Oryzias latipes: one gene and its partners. The protein of the gene in region 4 purifies or fractionates together with the protein of the main gene of each other region. This does not show direct contact. Links are inferred from orthologs where the notes say so. Each region holds a gene or a part of one and is shown on either strand. Other genes may lie near its edges. The genes, in order: atf2, atf3, stat3, CCAAT/enhancer-binding protein beta and sp1.

Region 1 (3,988 bases), on a different chromosome or scaffold from region 4:
GGAGCCGCTACAGTCGGAGTCGCTGGATCTGGTGCTGGAATTGGAACAGTGTTCGGTAGTCTCATTATTGGCTATGCCAGGTTTGTTGCCATTTGGTCACTGTGTACATGTTTTTTTGGGGTACAATTCAAATGTTTTCTTTACATTTATTGACTTCTTTTTGTTTGCAGGAACCCATCTTTGAAGCAGCAGCTGTTCTCATATGCCATCCTGGGTTTCGCCCTGTCTGAAGCTATGGGACTATTCTGTTTGATGGTTGCTTTTCTGATCCTGTTTGCAATGTAAAGCACTGCCCTCCCAACACTTTCATTACAGATGTGACTACATATTTTATTGTGGCTTCTAAAATTGTTCAGTGTTGGTGTCATGGAAATGTAAATTTTTCAAGTCTTTCCGACACAGTCAAAATTAAACAAAACATGTACAAACATAACAATGTGCGTGAATTTAATACATGCATTTGAGTATTTATCAGTGGCAGCAACGTCTATGTCTGGAATATCATGGTAACTGAAAGCAGTTTGCTCTCACAAATGTCAGAACATCTTCTCCCCTTGTGAATCAACTTGCTTTCTGAGAGTTATATGGGGTCCACCGTCATAAGCACTTAACTCAGTTGCAGTTAAGTAGAACTGTAAGAGGCAACAAGTGATTACTTGCTTTTGTAAATCACGTTGAATAAATCTAGATTGAATTATAATTTGGGTTTTTGAATTTATTTCCCGACCCCAACAGGGTTTCGAGGTTTGTCAAATGAATGAGTTGCCACTAAAACGGTCCATCAGAACAAAATTCTCAGTTAAAAAGTAATTGTCATTTGGAAGTCAGTAAATTAGTAATATTTGGCAACAAAGTTGACCAAATGTTTTTTTTTTTTTGTAATATAAATTACCCATGTGGTTTGTTTACTGCTTCAATCAAAAATAGTTCCTTGTGATTTAATTTAATATAGAGTACACGATAATGTTTCTCTAAATTGAATTGTTTTAAAGAAATTTGGCCTTTGAGTAAAAAAGGAATGTTAACTTGAGGTGGTTCCGTAGACTGTAAATAAAGTTGTAATGCAGTAGAAATGATGGCAATTATTTATAAAATATTGAATTTATGGGTAAATGGGTAAATTTATGGGTAAATGGGTTTATTAGTGTCCATTAGTATGTTTACGGCGTTTGGGTTAGTGTGACGTTTACGGAAGAAGAAATTGTTTTCTCGCGATACTTTGGGGTTTGGGAAAACAACGTTTGTGGCTAAAGGGGTAAGTAACAACTCAAATTGAAAGCGAGTTTTATTACAAATGCAAAAAAGGGCACCCTTTATCTGAAATCGGTGTTATTTTCTTCCAAGTGAAATTAATCCCCCTCAAATTAAATACCAAAAGGTTATCTGTTTAGTGATTTGTTGGTTCTAACATGGCGACGGCTGTGCGTTATCTCAGCTCAGGCTGGAGCGGAGGATCGGATCATAATGTAGCTTTTGTTGTGTGATGACTTTAGTCGGAATTAAACGTGAAACTTTTTTTTCCAACAAAAAACATGCATAATTTCTTTGTTCGTGTTGAAAAATACACAATCCGAACGACCACACACCGAACGACCCTGCACTGCATCACCGAGCTAATAAATAAGCACAGACAGAGCAACCCCACCTCCTCACTGGCTTTGTCCAAAATCTTATTTGTCCTTTCACTAGATTTGCCCTTAACAGTCCCACTCGAGTCTCGAGTCATTTCTACTATTATCTAAAAATTAACCCTCTAACCCTCCTTTTGATCAGCCACGATTACGTGGTTGTCTTTTCTGTGGCTGTTGAATTTATTTCTGTTTTAAATGGAAATTAAGTTAATTGAGATGAAATATGTTGTTTTTATTCATTTATTGTAGGACAAAAATATAGCAAGAATTTCTTAATATGAGTGATGACAAACCCTTCCAGTGTACTGCTCCAGGATGTGGACAGGTAAGCTGACATAGTTCTTCATAGTTTTTATTTCTTTTTAGTTAGTGATTCAGTTATTTTTATTTTTTGAAAAATAGAAGGAAAAAAACCAATTCCAATGTGTTGTAAATTTATATGGTGGAGTTGTTGAGCTTACATCTTTACATTCTAGATTATTTAAAAACGTTGAAGGTATTATAATATTACATGTTTTGAGATACGGTAGTTGTATTTCTCCAGAGACTAACTTTAATATATATATATATATATATATATATATATATATATATGCATCAAATATGGTAACCAAATATTTGGGTACTCAATGTGTACATTTTACATACATTTGCTATCTTTGCTGATAATATCGAATAATTCAACTAAAAAACGTAGTTTGTGCATTCTTATCAGACATTTTAAAAGCTGAAGTTACTGTTTGAAGGATTTGTGATTATTTGTGGTACAGATAAATCCACTTAAAAACAGAATCACTGGAGTTAATAAAAGCCTGAGTCTGCATCCAATTTGAGGATTCACAAAAGGGTCAAATAATAAAAAGCATCTCTTTTTTGAAGTCACATCAACTGTTTAATTTCTAGTGCCAAAGTAAAGTTGGCTAAAGGGTAAAAATATGTAATTATTGTGGTAAATGTACGCGCACAGTCACAATAAACATAAAAACACACATTAAGCCTATGTTTATGTTTATTTAGGGTTTGATTTCTTTGGATTTTAGCAATGCACCGTTTACTTTTTGAAATTGTTAGTATTTTAACATATTTAACATTGTGAGTCATTGTTGTCTCTCAAAGGATATGCAGAATAAAGTTGTTTTTTTATTCATTTATTTCCTTTTTACCTTGCTCAGAGATTTACAAATGAAGACCACTTGGCTGTCCACAGACACAAACACGAGATGACACTAAAGTTTGGCCCAGCGAGGACCGACAATATCATAATTGCTGGTGAGTCCTTCTTAAGTTTTATGTCTATAGATGTTTGTGTGTTTTTGCCTCCTTAAGTGTGATTTTTTTCTTCTTTTATCTTTTCTTTTCTCTATTACAGATCAAACGCCGACACCCACTCGCTTTTTGAAAAACTGCGAGGAAGTCGGGCTTTTCAACGAACTTGCCAGTCCTTTTGACCATGACTTCAAAAAAGCAGCTGAAGATGACTTGAAGAAGGTTGAGTTTGTTCTGTAACTTCTGTCAAATCTTCTCTTAGGATGATCTCTGAAGTCCAGAGTTTATATCTGCTTTTTTTCTTTTTCTTTTAACCTTCCCAAAGCTACCTCTGGATTTGTCACCTCTTGCTACACCAGTCATACGCAACAAAACTGAGGAACCCGCAGCTGTAGATGCACATCGGAACAGCCCCCTTCCTCATCCTGAGTCCACCACAAACGATGACAAGGTAGATTTTTTTCTGTTTAGTTAGCTCTCTAATGGGTTTTAGGAGTGCTATTAAACATGAATAATTAAGAATCCTCCTGTTTCTGTAATCATTCATTTACTATAGAAATTGTACTTCTTCTTTCACCTGCTTGAATTCTTCGATTTATTTGTTTTTTATTTTCAAACCCCACTCTCTTTTTTTTTTTTATTCAAACACTGCTCTTAATTTTGATTTGGAAATCCTAAAACCAACCAAAAAAATATTTGCAAAAAGTTCTTGTAACTAACTAAGCTGGTGTTCACTAAACATTTCTGCAGCTAAGGTCTTGTATGATGTTTTCAGGACTTAACTTTGCAGCCTGCCTCACTGCCAACATCCACTATAGTCCATCCTGCATCCCTCCAAGTTCCCAATGTACTTCTAGCAACCACGGACGCTAATGTTGTAATACAGCCAGCTCTCCCATCGCCAACATCTAGCTCTGTTATTACCCAGGTTCCATCCACTAATAGACCCATAGTGTAAGTAACGGAATGCGTCCATTTTTAAAACAAATCTTAGTTTTTAGTTTTTTTTAATCATTTTTGTGTAGTTTTGTGCATTTTGTGAGGCATGTGCTTGTATTTTATGTTTATTTTTTTAATCAATCTGCACTCTG
Region 2 (4,230 bases), on a different chromosome or scaffold from region 4:
GGGGGTGTTCCGACTACCAGGGAATCACACTAGTGTCACTAGTGACAGTGTCACTTTAATTAATTGTAAAGGTGATTTGTTTTTGTTTTTTTGGTTTTGTTCAGGAAGAAGTTGCCATTTTGTATGACTTACAATGTTAAGTAAAGTCCAGTGGAGTTTAGAAACAAAGGATTTGTATGTTTGTGTCAGTCTGGGGGGGCTTGAAAATATTCTAATCTTCAGAAAGGGGGGCCCTGCAGAAAAAGTTTGGGAACCACTGCACTAGACAGTGAACCTTTTTTCTTCAATGATATGTTATCTTCACTGGTGTCCATGGATTACATGAAATCTTTCCACCTTTATCCACCTTTGTCATGGTAGGGAGAACACGTCAATGGAAGGGGGGGGGGGGGGGGGAATCTAAGATAGCACAAGGGTTATTCTCTCCATTCCTGCAGAAATGCCCCAGCTCCGTCTACATATGGCTCCACCTTTGTGCATGTTTGGATGCACATTTCTGTGAGAGAAGCTCTTCTCAGTGATGAAGACTAACTAAACAGCAGACAGCTGTCGTCTCACTGATGATCACCTGCAGTCCATCCTGAGAATCTCCACAACACAGAACCTCACAGCAAACACAAACCAACTGTGTGACACAAAACGATGCCAGACGTTCAGCTCTGATCAAATGACACAGGAGTAAAGAAAACAGAATGATATGATTTGTAAACGCTGAATTTGTATAATTTGGGCAGGATATAATCTTATGGAGAATAAAATCTTTTGGGATATTTACAATTTGAACTTAATTTTTGTATAAAATGACATGTTTAATGAAATTTGAATTTTTTTCTTTAATATTTACTTTATTTCTATCTTGTTTAATTTTGAGAGTAGAGCAAAATAAAGTTATTTAGAGTTTAAGTTGATTTATTCTGGAACAACGTTTTAGATTTATGTTTTAAAAAGTTGTAAAAGTTTACATTTTTAAATTTTAGTTTACAACAGTAGTGACCCATTTACAAACGGGGGGGGGGGGTGCAGGAGGAAAACAGATCTCTAAAGAGAAAAAAAAGGAAAGTGATCAAAAAGAATGTTTTAAAAGTTAAAAGCCATTTAATTTTATGTATTTACCTGAATCTATATCTATCTATCTATCTATCTATCTATCTATCTATCTATCTATCTATCTATCTATCTATCTATCTATCTATCTATCTATCTATCTATCTATCTATCTATCTATCTATCTATCTATCTATCTATCTATCTATCTATCTATCTCAGGTGCTTTGGGGGGAGAAGGGGACCCCCGTTTTGGTCCTTGGGTGGCATCATCACTGGATCAGAGTCTATAAATAAGATGATGTCATCCCCCTCCCCACCCCCACCCCTCCTACCCTCGCAGTCTAGTAGGATTCCTAGGTACTGCGTCACTAAGCCCCGCCCCTGGAGTTCCTATAAGTGGGTGATGCAACGGGAGAGACGAGAAGCGCAACTCAGTACTGCGGAACCGAACGGAGCAGTCCACGCCGGAACCAGAGCCGGAACCAGAACTTTCAAAGGTGCGTTCCTGTCTTGTGCTGGAGGCGGGGAAGGGGGGCGCTTTTCCGCCGGTCCGGTCCGGTCCGGTCCGGCCGTGGCTCTAAACAGAAAGCAAACTGTTTGTAGGTGCTTCTCGTTGAAAGACTTAGTTTCTGTTCATGGAAGTGTTTCTATTTGAATCCTCCGCTTTAACCTTCGTTTTCTGCTTACCAGTTTACCTTCAGTCAGTAAATAACACTCAAAAACGCCTTAGGGAGGGAATCGAACCGGTGTGATGATCAGAAGTTCTTCTTCCGTTGTAGCCGCGGATGTTCCTCTGAAGGAGCAGAACCTCCTTCACCTGCTGTTACACAACAAATGTGTTGACTCTTTATCTTCATGATGTCATTATTACTCAGCAGAATCTGTCCTGGAAGTCTCTGGTTAGCAGTCAGAGATCTTTAGGGTTCATGTGGGCGTTTCTGCCTGAATGTAGTCAGTTAGTTTATGCTACTGGAAACCTGTGTGGAAAAACATTGATACTACACAAATACTAGATAAAAAAACACCAAGCCACATATAAGTGCAACATTAGCTAAAAAAAAACTAAAAAAGTTCCAGAGCAAAGTATTTCTTGTAAAAAGCAGAGGGCGTGTTCAGGAAGGGGCTAAAGAAAGTCCAAAACCAGAAAGACAAATGGTGGGAGGGGGGACGCTGAGCCTGACTGTGACTGAAAGTCTGCCGTGTCTCCAGAATGATGCTGCAGCACCTGGGACCGTCATTGGCTGACATCAGCTGCTCAGCCCTGGTCCCCTGCCTGTCCCCCCCAGGAGAACTCACTCTAGAAGACTTCACCAACTTCACCCCCATAGTGAAGGAGGAGCTCCGTCAGGTCATCCAGAACAAGCGACTGTCCTGCGGGCTCAGTGCAGACGCCAGTTCTGACAGCGCCAGCTCTGCCTCGGACCAGGCCCCGCCCACCCACGAGTCAGGGGTCAAGAGAGAGGTGAGGCAGGTACTCCCCCCACGCCAGTCTGTTGCTGAGTGGATTCTTTATTCAGAACTCTGTGTGGGTTTCAGCTGACGCTAGAGGAGCACGACAGGAAGAAGAGGAGGCGAGAGAGGAATAAGATTGCTGCTGCAAAATGCCGCAGCAAGAAGAAGGAGAAGACTGAAGGTCTGCAGAAGGTAAACTCTGTTTTCACCAGGCTGTAACCAGGAGCTCTTTGGAGGACATGCATGAGACCAAGTGTCTTACTACCATCACAGTTTACTCATTTAGCAGATATGTAGCTTCTGTGTGCTTGAAACGGAAGCCTGAAGGTTGCCTCTGTGAACCTTCATCATTTCTGATAATGCAGATTATTCTGCTTATACTATGGTCACTTCCCAAAGAAATATTTAGTACTTTATTCTTGTTTTTTTTTTTAGGTTTTCACAAAAATCAGACTAAGTTATATGCAGTACGTTGTCATGGTAATGGCCATAGAGACTGCAGCGGCAAAAGAAAGTGATTCATATGCTGATGGGTTGAATAAAGCATCAGTTCAGTGTGAAAGTTCACGTCTTACTGCTTCTTTTTGTCCAGATGAGGAAGTTAAAGTTTGTTTCAAAGAAACTAACTGTAAAGTCTAAATAGTTCAGTTCCTCCTCTTGTCGTATTTCTTCCTTCTAGATCCACTTCTCTCTCGTTCTCTTTTGCTGCAGTCTCTAAAAAGATCAAATTAACCAAACAGGTGAAAGGAAACTATAAAATCACTCATGTTTTCTACTGTCTTACTGTTGTAATAATCTGGAATAAGGCATGACAAACTATGTTTGTTTATGTTTTAATGGTGATAATCGGAATACCGACTTGTGTTTAGGCCACTGCAGTGATAAGGAACATTTGGGGGGTGTGACTGGAACTTCTTTTTTAGGTGTGGGATATCACTTTGAAATATACACACTGCAACCAATCAGAATTAAGTATTCACCTGGACAATGGTATAGAGACTTAACAGATTCTCTGAGGTGGAATTAGTCTTTCTAGAAAAAAGATCTGAATTTGAGGCATTTTACAAATGGAAATACAATTTCATGAGGAAAAGAAGATAAAAGTTTGGTAAGAATTAAAGTTGTCAAAAAACATTTATCCTCAAATGAAAAGCGTGTCCCGGATCTTGGTTTCTCTTCAGCAGCTTCTTTTGGTTTCAGACCTGGAACTTTTTTAACCAAAGCAGCTTTCTGATCCCTCCACCTGATGTTCCAAAAGACTGAGCCCCGTTTGTTCTGCGTCTGCTCCTGTTAGGAGTCAGAGAAGCTGGAAAGCATCAACGCTGACCTGAAGGCTCAGATCGAGGAGCTCAAGCAGCAGAAGCAGCAGCTGGTCTACATGCTGAACCTGCACCGACCCACCTGCATCGTCCGGGCCCAGGACGGACAAACCCCAGAGGACGAGAGGAACCTCTTCCTCCAGCACATCAAGGAGAGCAACTTCCAGCTTCACAGCCTCACCTCCACCACAGAGGGCTTGCTGGGGGGGGGCCCGCTAAGCCTTGACCACATTTGCTGTCCCGCTGATCTATGACTGAGCAGAGGCTGCCCCCTACCAACATCAGAGACTAGCTGAGTGTTAGCCTGACCTGAACAGGCCTGACCCAGAAAGGACTGCGGGCCACACTTGGCTCACACAAAGCTGCAAAAACCTGACTATGCACTGAGGGTTGTGAGGGAGGGGGACATCTG
Region 3 (3,514 bases), on a different chromosome or scaffold from region 4:
CCTGGTGAAGAAGTACATCCTTGCGCTGTGGAACGAAGGGTGAGAGGTTGCAGAGGTTCCCACGCTATGACTGCTACTGCCAGTTTACTTCCTGTTGTGATCCGGAAACTGTGCAACGGTCGACGGCCTTAAAATAAGTTTGCTATTTCAGAGCTGAGCATGTCGTAATTAGAATGTTGTCTTCTGGTTGCTTGTTATCAGATACATCATGGGCTTTATCAGTAAGGAGAGGGAGAGAGCCATTCTGAGCCCCAAACCTCCCGGCACCTTTCTGCTGCGCTTCAGCGAGAGCAGCAAAGAGGGTGGCATTACATTTACATGGGTAGAGAAAGACATAAGTGGTGAGTAATTGGAGACATTTTTACGTTTTTTTATATATGATTAGGGATGGGCGCTGTTTGAATTTTATCTGATGCCGGGCATTTGAAAAACTGTTCTGGTGCTCGAGCCAATGCTTCAAAAATGAAATGCGTGCAAATATGTTTCCAAAAACCACATGGTGAAGGAGACCGCTTGAACCTGCCTAAGGTGCTTTAGTGTTTCCTTGTTTATTGTGGGAATTAGATTCTGCAAGTAAGCCGTGATAAATAAAATTGGTGCAGTACATTATAGATCTTTTAAGGCTGTAAAACCCTCTCTGCACACTGTCTACCCTTTTCTCAGACAAACAGGAACATTTTCACACTATTCTCTATTGTTTTAATCTCTCAAAGTTAAAACAAAATCCAGTTTTATAAAATTGTGAGCAAAGATTTCTGTACAGGAGACACAACACGGAGGAGATTGATTGACGTGATCTGCAGCCAATCAGGATGTAGGACAAAATGTTAAACAAACCCTCAAAACGGCACTAAAAAAGACGTGAAACCGCAAAACCACGAAAGGTTAACGGCAATATCGTTTTACTTGACAGTATGAACCGCATCTCTGTTTTCACACACACTGAGGTAGAGGTAGAGCGTATTACACGTCACCCTTCACCATCAGAATTCCAATCTTTTACTGTGAGATGCAGCTAAAGTTTTACTCACTTTGCATTTTGACTGAAGCTGCGCCCTCCCTCACGGCCTCACCCAGTCTGATATGAGCCCGCCCACAATCGCTGGAAAGGTAAAAAGATTGGTTAGAATTGTAAAGCAAAATTGTATCGAGTAGGACTGATTGACGTGTCAGAAACACCAAAACCACATTTTTATACGTAACCAGTACTATCATATACTGTATGTCGGTACCAACTTGACACAGAGTTTAACAGAACAGTTTTTTGTGTTGATAGGAAAGACCCAAATCCAGTCTGTGGAACCGTACACCAAGCAGCAACTCAACAGCATGTCCTTCGCCGACATCATCATGGGTTACAAGATTATGGATGCCACCAATATCCTGGTGTCGCCTCTTGTTTACCTCTACCCTGACATCCCCAAAGAGGAAGCTTTCGGGAAGTACTGCAGACCGGAAGCAGCTCATGAACCCGAGGCAGGAGGAGATTCAGCAAGCAGTGAGTGTTTTTTGGATTGTTTTTAGCTACGTTGTGGAAGTTCTTCGAATTGCCGTCACCTTTCAACCATTTACTTAATTAATTTTCTTCCAACGGATTCTCCGCTTCAGAATCCGTAGGAATTCCGATGGTTTGAAGAGTGTGTGTTATTCTGTGTCGCTGGTGACAGCTCCAGTATTAACTGTCTGAGTCTAAATTGTTTTTGCTCATTTTCTTTTCTCCTTTAACAGTCACCCAGCCATACTTGAAGACAAAGTTCATCTGCGTGACCCCGTAAGTTTCCATCAATCCACTCCGACTCGCTGTCAAAATAAAAGCATGCCGCTCGGTTAACTCCATCTGTCTTAGTCTTTCTGCTGCTGAAGTGTCCTGGGAGGACATTTTCTGTTTTTAGAGCTGCGTTCGTGAACCCAAAGAGTTTCCTTAATAGCATCAACTTTTTCACCGTCTGGGTAATTAAAAATATCGAATCTCGATGGTCAGTGTTCACATAGAGGGCTGCAAGATGATTACGCCTTTTATTCAGAAGTAAAATGAAAAAAGAAATTAAATGATTTTCAGTCGTATTCCTAAGCTGAGGAAAAACAACAGTCATAAAAAGTATTGAATGTTAATAAGTATTACTAGTATTCAGGCGTGTTCATGTCGGTCAGGTTTGATAGTGTGCTGGTGGGTTTCCAGGTTTGCCTAGTGAGATCCTGACCTGTCTCCGTAGGTGTCCCTCCGTGTTCATGGACTTGCCGGACAGTGAGCTGCTTGGGAACGGATTCCCAGGGTAGGCCGCTGGGGGGGAGGTGGCATGTAGAGAGCATTGTGTGCATCTTGACACTTAGTATGTCTGGTGGACGGCTTTCACCACTGTCAACGTAGCCAACGCCTCCACATTGTTTCTGTTGTGTCCAAACTCACAGCCAAAGCACCTGGCTTCTCTCCTCTCCGTTCATCCGTTTTGGCTCGGTTCAGACCGCAATCCTCCATCCATGACCACCCGCTTTTGGTTGGTTAAGGGAAAGATTTTGAAGTTGACCGTTAGACAATTCAGCATCAATTTCTGAGAGATAAAAAGTTATGCCTGTTAGTTTGACAAGAAGCTAAAACCAAAAAAAAAAAAAAAAAGAAGCTTGCAGAACAATAAAGGCCCGTTTGCTCACCATTTGTTGTGACTGACTGAAGCGAAGCCCTCATTAAGGCCCATTCAATGCGCCTTTTGTCTCTGCCTTTGGTAAATGCAAGACCGTTTAATTGCATATTAACATTTTCTCATGTTTCATTTAGAACGTGTAATTAAATAAAATGTCTACTTTTCACCACCTTACTTTACCCCATGGGCATCACATTGCAAACTAACATAGTCACTAAATACCTATCTGTTATATTAAGTCCAATGACAAATGTATTAACATGGAAAAGGAATAAAACATGATCACAACCTTTTCCTATGTGATTGCCTCCTAATCACTGTCTGGAAAAAGGTGACGGATCTCATCCCGGCGGCTTTACCTGAAGAGCCTGAACTAACACACACTGCATCAGATGCACGTGTCTTTAAACAGTGGATATTAAACTGCTTTCCTTTTTTATCTTTTCTTTTTGTTCACAGCACAAACTCTGGAAACACCAGCGACCTGTTTCCTATGATGTCACCTCGCACCCTTGATTCCCTGATGCACAATGAGCCAGAAGCTCACTCTGGACATTTGGGTAAGCCCCTCACTGACTGTGTGTGGTTGTGTATGGTTGTGTATGGTTTGTCCGTTTGACTTCAGCTCAGGTGTTGTCCTCAAACCCCACACACATTGTAAAACTGGAACTCCCTGATGACTCAGGCTTTTTTATGGCCCACATCAGTCCTGGACTGCATGACCAGATTGTTTCGCAATTCTTCCTTCTTACCACGGGTTTAAACGAAAATTTTGCCCCCGCCACGTATTGAAACCTATGGCGGAGTTTTACAAAGAACTTTTTTTTTCTTAAATTACGACTTTAAGTCTTGTAATTTCATTTATTTATTTATTT
Region 4 (3,347 bases):
GCACCCCTACTCAGAAATGTGCAGCATCAAAGTCACGTGTTTTTGTGTAACATGTCACAGGAAAAATTTGAATGCTGATCCAGAATGACATCTCAGATGAAAACGTTGTCTGTATGTGACGCTATAGGAAGAGAAGGGAGCACTCCCATGGAGGCACTACAGATGTCATCTGTCATTCTGTTTGATGGAGCTGCCTGACAGGGAGCTGAAAGTAAAATGCAAACATCGAAGAAAAGTTGGAAGCAAAGGGAAAACTTCAAACTGTTTCAAAGCAGTTTTAATGGAGCAAGAATTAAACTTAAGCCAAAAAAAAAGGTTTTTCACTCAAACAACAAAAAAATGTATACATTATCAATTTAATCCCTTTGATTTATGTGCGATTATATTCAAACATCAGCCAGGCCTGATGTTAAAAGCCTTTAGATACCATTTGGAGTTTTTTTTTCTCTCCAGTACAGTCTTGTCATGATATTCTGCACCGACCGCTTCCTAACATGCAAGTCATGGTGACTTCAAATGGAAAGTGACTACCTCTGTTTTCTTCAGCAAATCACACAAGAAATGTCACACACGTGTCTTAAAATATGCAAAAGATGCTCGAAGCACCAAATTGACAAGTGCTTGACAAGTAATTTTCTAAATACTCTTAGCCACACGGTGGCAGTAAATCCCAATTTGCAAACCAGTTTCTCACCAATAAATAAATTGTAGGTATTTCTTCTCAATCTACGTGCACGTTTAAAGCAAACGTGTAATTCTTATCTGATCTTATTCAGAGTCAGTTTATTTTTGGGGCCTCATGATTGTCCAGGAGAGGCTTCTATTTTGTTCTTGCTGTGAGTCATTGGGTCATGCTTGAAGTCATGTTGTGGGATAACACTGATCCCACGAGACAGTCACATCTGTCTTTGACGACAGTGAAATGTTTCTGACACAAACCAGCACAGTGATGGATGGGGATGTGTGCATCACTTCCACAACTGTTCATTTTTGTTTTGGAAATAATGTGTTCAGAGATGTTTTGATTACAACTGAATGTGATTTTCTGCTGCAGGAGTTAAGGAAATGTGTCCAGAAAGGAGCAAAGTAATTATTTATAATAACTTGTATTGATGCTTACTGACAAACAATGAAAGACTTCACTTTAAATAGACAACAAGTCAAGTTCAGGTTTTCGTTTGTCCCGACATAAACAGATGAATGCGGGAAACGTTCTCCAAAGTGGAACAGGTTGTTCGCTGACAGGCTCCGCTCGTCACACCTGCCCTGTTAGGCCCCGCCCCCCGCGCTGTGGAATAAAACCCTCTCGAGACAGGAAGGTCTGTCAATTCCTCCCAATCCGCCACAGAAAAAAAAAGTTGCTTCTTGTTGTTGCCACATGAAGTGACGCGGGTGCTTTCAGCTCGCTGCATTCCGACACGTTTTCTCCAGTTACTCAGCTGAACTTGAAGAACTCGGGGCGCCTCACCTCAGCCCTGCCCGCTCCTGCAGTCCGGCGGGAGTGCAGATCCATGGAAGTGGCCGGCTTGTACGAGGAGGGAAGCTTTGCTATCCACGGCAGAGACGGTATCATCAGTCCCATCGTCGGCGGCTCGTACTGGCGGCTCGGTGACTCGATGACGGAGCTGGGCATTGAGGAGCGGGAGAGAGCGATAGACCTGAGCGTTTACCTGGACCCAGCCTTCCACTGCGCGCAGCTGGCGGCGCAGACGCAGCCGCAGGGGGACGCGTACTCTGACTTTCTGGCGGAGAGCAAGATCAAGAGAGTCTCAGCTCTCCAGAGCTACAGGAACTACTCTTTGCTGGGCGAGCTGGAGTCGAGCCAGTGCGACCCCCGGCAGCCCTACTCGCTGGGCTACTCGGAGCTGCAGGAGACGCGCGCGGACAGCGTCCTGAGCCCCGAACTGAGCCGCTACAGAACCGCCGCCGCAGCCGCCGACAGAGACGACAACCTGGAAGACGCCAAGATGGAGAACGGCTCGTCCGGGTTCGACATGAGGTCCTATCTTCATTACCAGTCCACCAGCAGCAGTCTGGGGAACATCTCCACTGCGTCCTCCACCTGCTCCAGCCCGCCCGGCACACCTGCGCCCTCAGGTAAAGGCAGGTCACCGTCTCACGGCGGCAAGGGGAGCAGCGGGAAGTCTAAAAAACGATTGGACAAGGACAGTGAAGAGTACAAGCTGAGGAGGGAGAGGAACAACCTCGCCGTGAGGAAGAGCAGGGACAAAGCCAAAATGCGCAACTTGGAGACTCAACACAAAGTGCTGGAACTGGCCGCGGAGAACGACCGTTTACAAAAGCGCGTGGAGCAGCTGTCTAGGGAGCTGGCCACGCTGCGCAACCTGCTCTCAGCAACTGGACAATGTTAGGTACCCCCCTCCCACGAGAGAACCCCCCTGTGCCGCTCCCTCAAGTGGACTGGAGAGTGCACGGTGATCCAAACGGTACACAGGTGAAGGCGGCCATCCCCAGTTTACAATGGACACTGAATAAGACTGAACAAGTGGGTGCATGGATTGCGCAACCGTTCACCACTCTTTACATGTCACTGTGGCTTTTTCCTCACATGTAATGTTTGTGTATGCAGTATTTCTGTGCAGGTTTTACATACATACATTCATACCCTTGAATTTCTAGATTTTTGTGTGTGTGTGTGTGTGTGTGTGTGTCTGCAGCAATGGCTGTCAACGGGGAGAGTTGTGCTGCAGTGAAATGATGCAACTCTTTGTAATAGTATTGGCAATGAATGAAATAAGTCTAATTATTTAAGATTTAAAAAGGTGAAATGCTTTAATTGTACTTGACATTGGATTAAATAGATTTATACTTTGTTTAAAGGAATTTGCACGCTCTTTTCTGTCCTTTCCTCCGCAGGTTTAGGGTGCAGACAGGCACACAGACATGGGCGTTCACACTCAGACTCACACTTAATCCGTTACAGCATATTGCGTTGAGGAAAACGGCTGTTTTTATAATCCAGGTTTGCGTAAAATAAACTACAAATCACGAAAAGAATCCTACAGGCCTTTAAATATTTGAACCTTTGTTGCACAAAACGTTATTAATTAATCATACGTATTTCATTATAAAGTAGAAAATATAGTTCTCTGTAGTTAAAAAGCTTTAAAAAATATAGTTTGGAATCTTTTTAGTCATTGGTTTTTGTCAAATTGCACTTAAAACAAACATCTCTTGCAGATAACCTTTTACACAAAACACAACCTAACTCCTCACACTCTTTTTTTTCCTCTTTTTAAACAGGTTCATTTTCGTTTCTGTTTATTTTAAATAATTGACGCATTCTCCCAAGGGTCCTAAAATAAATCAAACCCATTTATGCTGAA
Region 5 (3,956 bases), on a different chromosome or scaffold from region 4:
TAGCCCTTTTCGCCCCTGAATTAAACATGACAAAGTTTACTTTTATTAAAATTTATCAACAGGTCTGTCCTACGTTATAACTGCTATATCAGTTCTTGCTGTTTCTTTGCCAATACTAAAAATGTGTTTACTACAGCAGGGGCTTTTGGTTGTAGTGGTGACACTGAGGGGTGGGTCCAAGCCTAAAGTTAAGAATGGATGGACTCCACCTTCTGGCCTGTTTACATGGACACATGTGCTGCTTCACTGACAGCCCTCTTTCGTACTAAGCGATGAAAGCCCTCCCCTACGAGAGGCGCTTTCCACTCCCAGCCATCTGTAGTCGGTGTCTGGAGGACGGTGGAGGTTTTTTTTCTCCACCCTGGCTGCCTTCTCCCGCCTCCTCCCTAGTGTTTACCAACCCATCCGCCACAAAAAGGAGTGGCCAGCGGCCACGGAGGCAAGACTCAAATCGACAGTCCTCCTTTTTCCCCACCTCCAGGTTTTAATTCAAGACACAAATCTAAGCACGATTTCTAAGTTTAAACATAAGACCTTCTTCGGAATTATACAAAGAAATCCGTGCGTATATATGTCAACATTTTAGAAACGCGGAAAACATAACCAATGTCAATTAGACTAAGGAGCGCAGCCTAACGTGGATGAACCCGCCCTATATCACCCACCTTTTCTCAAATTCCATTGGTTGGCTGACGGTAAGAGGCAGAGACATACGGTTTGATTGGTAGATTGAAGTAATCTTTCACAAGGCGCTTTTCTAGGGGGTGCGCTTGTTTTCTACGTTAATGGAATGACAGTAACACTAGATAATCAATTTATACATTTTTTAAATAAAATTTTGATTTAAAATAGTCTCACTTAGTAACTTTTCTAAACATTTTTTTTCTTGCAGGAAAAATAAACCTAGCTACAGTAAATTGTCTTATATTTTACATGTTAATGGATGCAACTATAAATTACCTTTACTCGTTTAACTTTTAAGAAAATCTCGGTTTAAGGGGCTCTATTTTCAATGTGTATTTAGTTTTTAAAACAAATATATTAATATAGTTAAAACGCACCTACTTTTAAAAATGTGTTCTCTTTCTATGACTACATAGAACAAAGATGGCGGGCTACAAAGGTACCTAAATTAAACGCACCTCTGTGCTTTCCTTCAAAGGGAAGGGGCTATCAAGTTTGTGTGAAGTTGTGAAAAGTTGTTAAGCAGAAAAAGAGCACAGAAACTCCTCCCGTCTTCAAATATGAGCAGTAAGTGAAGTTTTAAAACTCAGTGGTATGTTATGTATCTTTAGCTTGACAGAGTTTTTATTGTAGTAAGAACATTTTTTAAAACAAATAAGCAGCGGTAAACGCACAGTATTATATATCGAGTTGCCATAAACATGCAGTCAAAAAGTGGCCAGCAAACCTAACGACGTTAACGCTACTTGTTGGAACTTGGCTAACAACATTTAGCGAAACGGCAAAAAGTTGTTCGTAAGTGACACTAAAATCTGTGTACTTTCAGGACCAATCTGTATTCTTAGCCCATGTAGTCCGTTACATTTTAGAGATTAACTGAAGTCTCAAAGAGATTCAAGAGCGATTTCTTAGAACATCACTTGCCATTAGTTGATGTTAGCTTAGCTATTGAGCTAGCTTGCCCCGTGAGTACTTTGCCATTTATACATTTGCTTTTCTTGGAAAAGCCGCTACAAAAAGACAAAACAGACTTAGAGTTTTATATATATAAGACGTTTTATTTTTGTCCCGTCTGAGGTTTAAACTTGTGTTAAAGAGTCGCATTGTCTGAAACTCGTGTTTTGCTGTTTGTTGAAGTTGGGAATCTTGCAACTCTTCTTCCGCAGATCAGCAACAAGGTGAAATGGCCGCAGTGGAGAGTGGCGGAGGATTCTCTCAGAAGCGGAACACTAACTCACAAGTAGGTTTATCCTTCACTCGGACTGTTGATTTTAGTCAGTCTTGGCCTGGTTTGTTTTCGCTACTTGTTGAATTAGCTCGAAGGCGTTATTCGGGACCGGTTGTTTATTTCTCCCCAGAGCACATGTCACCGGGGTGGGGACTGGGCAGGTAAAAATCTCCCAGACTGGGTGTTCCCGTCAACCCCCGGCACTACAAGTGCGTTTTGTTCGGCCCATTTGGCATGCCTTTGAGGGGGTGGCCAGTGTGGTGCGCTGGTTTATAGGGCAACATAAAGTGTGGGAGGGAGAGGGGTGGGCTTGGGAGGAGGGGGAAGCCGAGCCCGCCACTACTCCTCTCAACTGTGGTCCCTCCCATACCCCACCTCAACCCCCACCTCCATCTGAAGCCCACTCCCTAAATCCTGCCATGAACACAGAGCAAATCCACCTATTTAATTCAATAATCCATATTTACATTGGTGTTTGTTTAGCATAAAATATGTTTACATCGTTTTCTTTTGTTAGACCTAAAGTCCTGTCAAGATTATTTTTTTTAACATATTATACAATCATTTGAAATCCCTACTGAAATATTTTTGACCTTTTTTTTTTGGTTTGCCATTGTGAATTTTTCAAGATTACACAAGAGCTGTAAATATCACACTTTTTTAATAGCAATCATTTAAATCAGTGGCCCCTGACCCCAGGACGCAGACCGGTACCAGTCCGTGGGATAGTTGGTACCGGCACATAGAGAAAGAAACTATGACCTACATTTTTGTTTTTGTTTTATTTATAATCTGATTTTGAAAGAAACTGTATTTATTCCGTGTAAAATTGTCAACACTTCCATAGCTCCATGCTGTTTTGCACATCTGACATGTTTAAATCTGTACATATCACTCTGCACATAATTGCATACATTTTTATTTTTGCACATTTCTTATTTTGCATATTTGCACACATTCTTGGTACACTCTGTGCATATTGACATTTTTACATTATACTTTGTTAGATTTGTTTTTTGCACTGTAATCGTGACTGCTGTAATTTCATTGTCCAAATGGACAATGACAATAAAGGCATATCTTATCCTATCTTTAAAAACAGAATTCTCCTCAACTGATCCGACTCGTTTTTGACGCATGTCAAGTCACTCTGTTACTTGTCGACAAACCATCTATTACTTTCTTAAACCAGTAGCATAGACCGCTAAGTTGAAACCCCCAAGACAGCAAAGTTAACAACAACAAAAAATGTATTTAAAAGATGTTTTTTTGTCTTTTTTTGGCAGAAAAAAAGACCCAGTGACTTCAGAGAAAAAGAAAGTTGTATTTAACAGACAAAAACCAGTAGTCTGTACTCAAAATACGGATTTATCTACAGTAGTTCCCAAACACCATGATAATAATCTTTTTTTTCATCTTTTAATACGTGTTTAAGTAATGTTATTTTATTTTTTAATCTGTTGCACTTTAAAAGTTGGACAAGACTGAAGTTGGTGCCAATTTTTTAGCTTCCACTTTAACATTTATGAGTTTAGGGGAAATTTGTCACATTTGAATGATTCTAGTTTACAAATAAAATTTCAATCCTCTGCAGATATTTTACAGAGAATGAAAATAAACTTTACAATCAAAAGTTAAGGGAAACTGAAAACTTAAAAAAATGTGGACTTTTACCTCAGCCTTGTCTGACATTAAACAGTCAGTGGCCTGAAAAGGGTTAAGGACTACCTACTAAAATATTTTATTTCACTGTACAGTGTACAGTTATTCTGTCTAAATAGGTTTATTTTACTGCCATTACTGTTTCTTTAGTTTATTTTATCAGCAAACATATGATAAATATTTAAAATATGGCGTTTTGTCTGTACTGATGCCATTTTCTTTATTTTTTAGGACTCTCAGCAGCCATCTCCCCTTGCTCTGCTGGCAGCCACGTGCAGTAGAATTGAACCACCGGGGGAAAACGATTCATCTGCAGACCAGCATCAAACTCAGCAGCAGCAGCTGAAGATAAACCAAATTTTCACCTCCAATGCCAATGGCT

What was found.
Region 1: the proteins of CCAAT/enhancer-binding protein beta (region 4) and atf2 purify together in Homo sapiens (affinity purification with western blotting; 3 studies listed by BioGRID and IntAct, with this or other methods). This does not show direct contact. The link is inferred for Oryzias latipes from reciprocal best matches to the Homo sapiens genes CEBPB and ATF2.
Region 2: the proteins of CCAAT/enhancer-binding protein beta (region 4) and atf3 purify together in Homo sapiens (affinity purification with western blotting; 3 studies listed by BioGRID and IntAct, with this or other methods). This does not show direct contact. The link is inferred for Oryzias latipes from reciprocal best matches to the Homo sapiens genes CEBPB and ATF3.
Region 3: the proteins of CCAAT/enhancer-binding protein beta (region 4) and stat3 purify together in Homo sapiens (affinity purification with western blotting; 3 studies listed by BioGRID, with this or other methods). This does not show direct contact. The link is inferred for Oryzias latipes from reciprocal best matches to the Homo sapiens genes CEBPB and STAT3.
Region 5: the proteins of CCAAT/enhancer-binding protein beta (region 4) and sp1 purify together in Homo sapiens (affinity purification with western blotting; 4 studies listed by BioGRID, with this or other methods). This does not show direct contact. The link is inferred for Oryzias latipes from reciprocal best matches to the Homo sapiens genes CEBPB and SP1.

The regions. Positions count from the first base shown.
Region 1 is NC_019879.2:22,381,755-22,385,742, reverse strand, and holds the start of atf2 (cyclic AMP-dependent transcription factor ATF-2), read left to right. Parts: upstream 1-1,179; 5' UTR 1,180-1,255; intron 1,256-1,880; 5' UTR 1,881-1,908; coding exon 1,909-1,956; intron 1,957-2,803; coding exon 2,804-2,900; intron 2,901-3,000; coding exon 3,001-3,119; intron 3,120-3,222; coding exon 3,223-3,348; intron 3,349-3,672; coding exon 3,673-3,851; intron 3,852-3,988. Other genes in the region: atp5mc3 (ATP synthase F(0) complex subunit C3, mitochondrial), read left to right, coding at 1-80, 171-285. UniProt on the Homo sapiens protein: Transcriptional activator which regulates the transcription of various genes, including those involved in anti-apoptosis, cell growth, and DNA damage response.
Region 2 is NC_019882.2:23,409,146-23,413,375, reverse strand, and holds the start of atf3 (cyclic AMP-dependent transcription factor ATF-3), read left to right. Parts: upstream 1-1,419; 5' UTR 1,420-1,450; coding exon 1,451-1,544; intron 1,545-2,256; exon of another isoform or gene 2,257-2,257; coding exon of another isoform or gene 2,258-2,333; coding exon 2,334-2,509; intron 2,510-2,583; coding exon 2,584-2,691; intron 2,692-3,793; coding exon 3,794-4,072; 3' UTR 4,073-4,230.
Region 3 is NC_019866.2:6,338,071-6,341,584, reverse strand, and holds part of stat3 (signal transducer and activator of transcription 3), read left to right. Parts: coding exon 1-39; intron 40-201; coding exon 202-341; intron 342-1,276; coding exon 1,277-1,498; intron 1,499-1,728; coding exon 1,729-1,771; intron 1,772-2,213; coding exon of another isoform or gene 2,214-2,273; intron 2,274-3,098; coding exon 3,099-3,199; intron 3,200-3,514. UniProt on the Homo sapiens protein: Signal transducer and transcription activator that mediates cellular responses to interleukins, KITLG/SCF, LEP and other growth factors. Once activated, recruits coactivators, such as NCOA1 or MED1, to the promoter region of the target gene.
Region 4 is NC_019865.2:21,871,281-21,874,627, reverse strand, and holds CCAAT/enhancer-binding protein beta, read left to right. Parts: upstream 1-1,315; 5' UTR 1,316-1,511; coding exon 1,512-2,372; 3' UTR 2,373-2,844; downstream 2,845-3,347. UniProt on the Homo sapiens protein: Important transcription factor regulating the expression of genes involved in immune and inflammatory responses. Also plays a significant role in adipogenesis, as well as in the gluconeogenic pathway, liver regeneration, and hematopoiesis.
Region 5 is NC_019863.2:10,447,458-10,451,413, reverse strand, and holds the start of sp1 (transcription factor Sp1), read left to right. Parts: upstream 1-1,147; 5' UTR 1,148-1,244; coding exon 1,245-1,251; intron 1,252-1,850; coding exon 1,851-1,924; intron 1,925-3,805; coding exon 3,806-3,956. UniProt on the Homo sapiens protein: Transcription factor that can activate or repress transcription in response to physiological and pathological stimuli.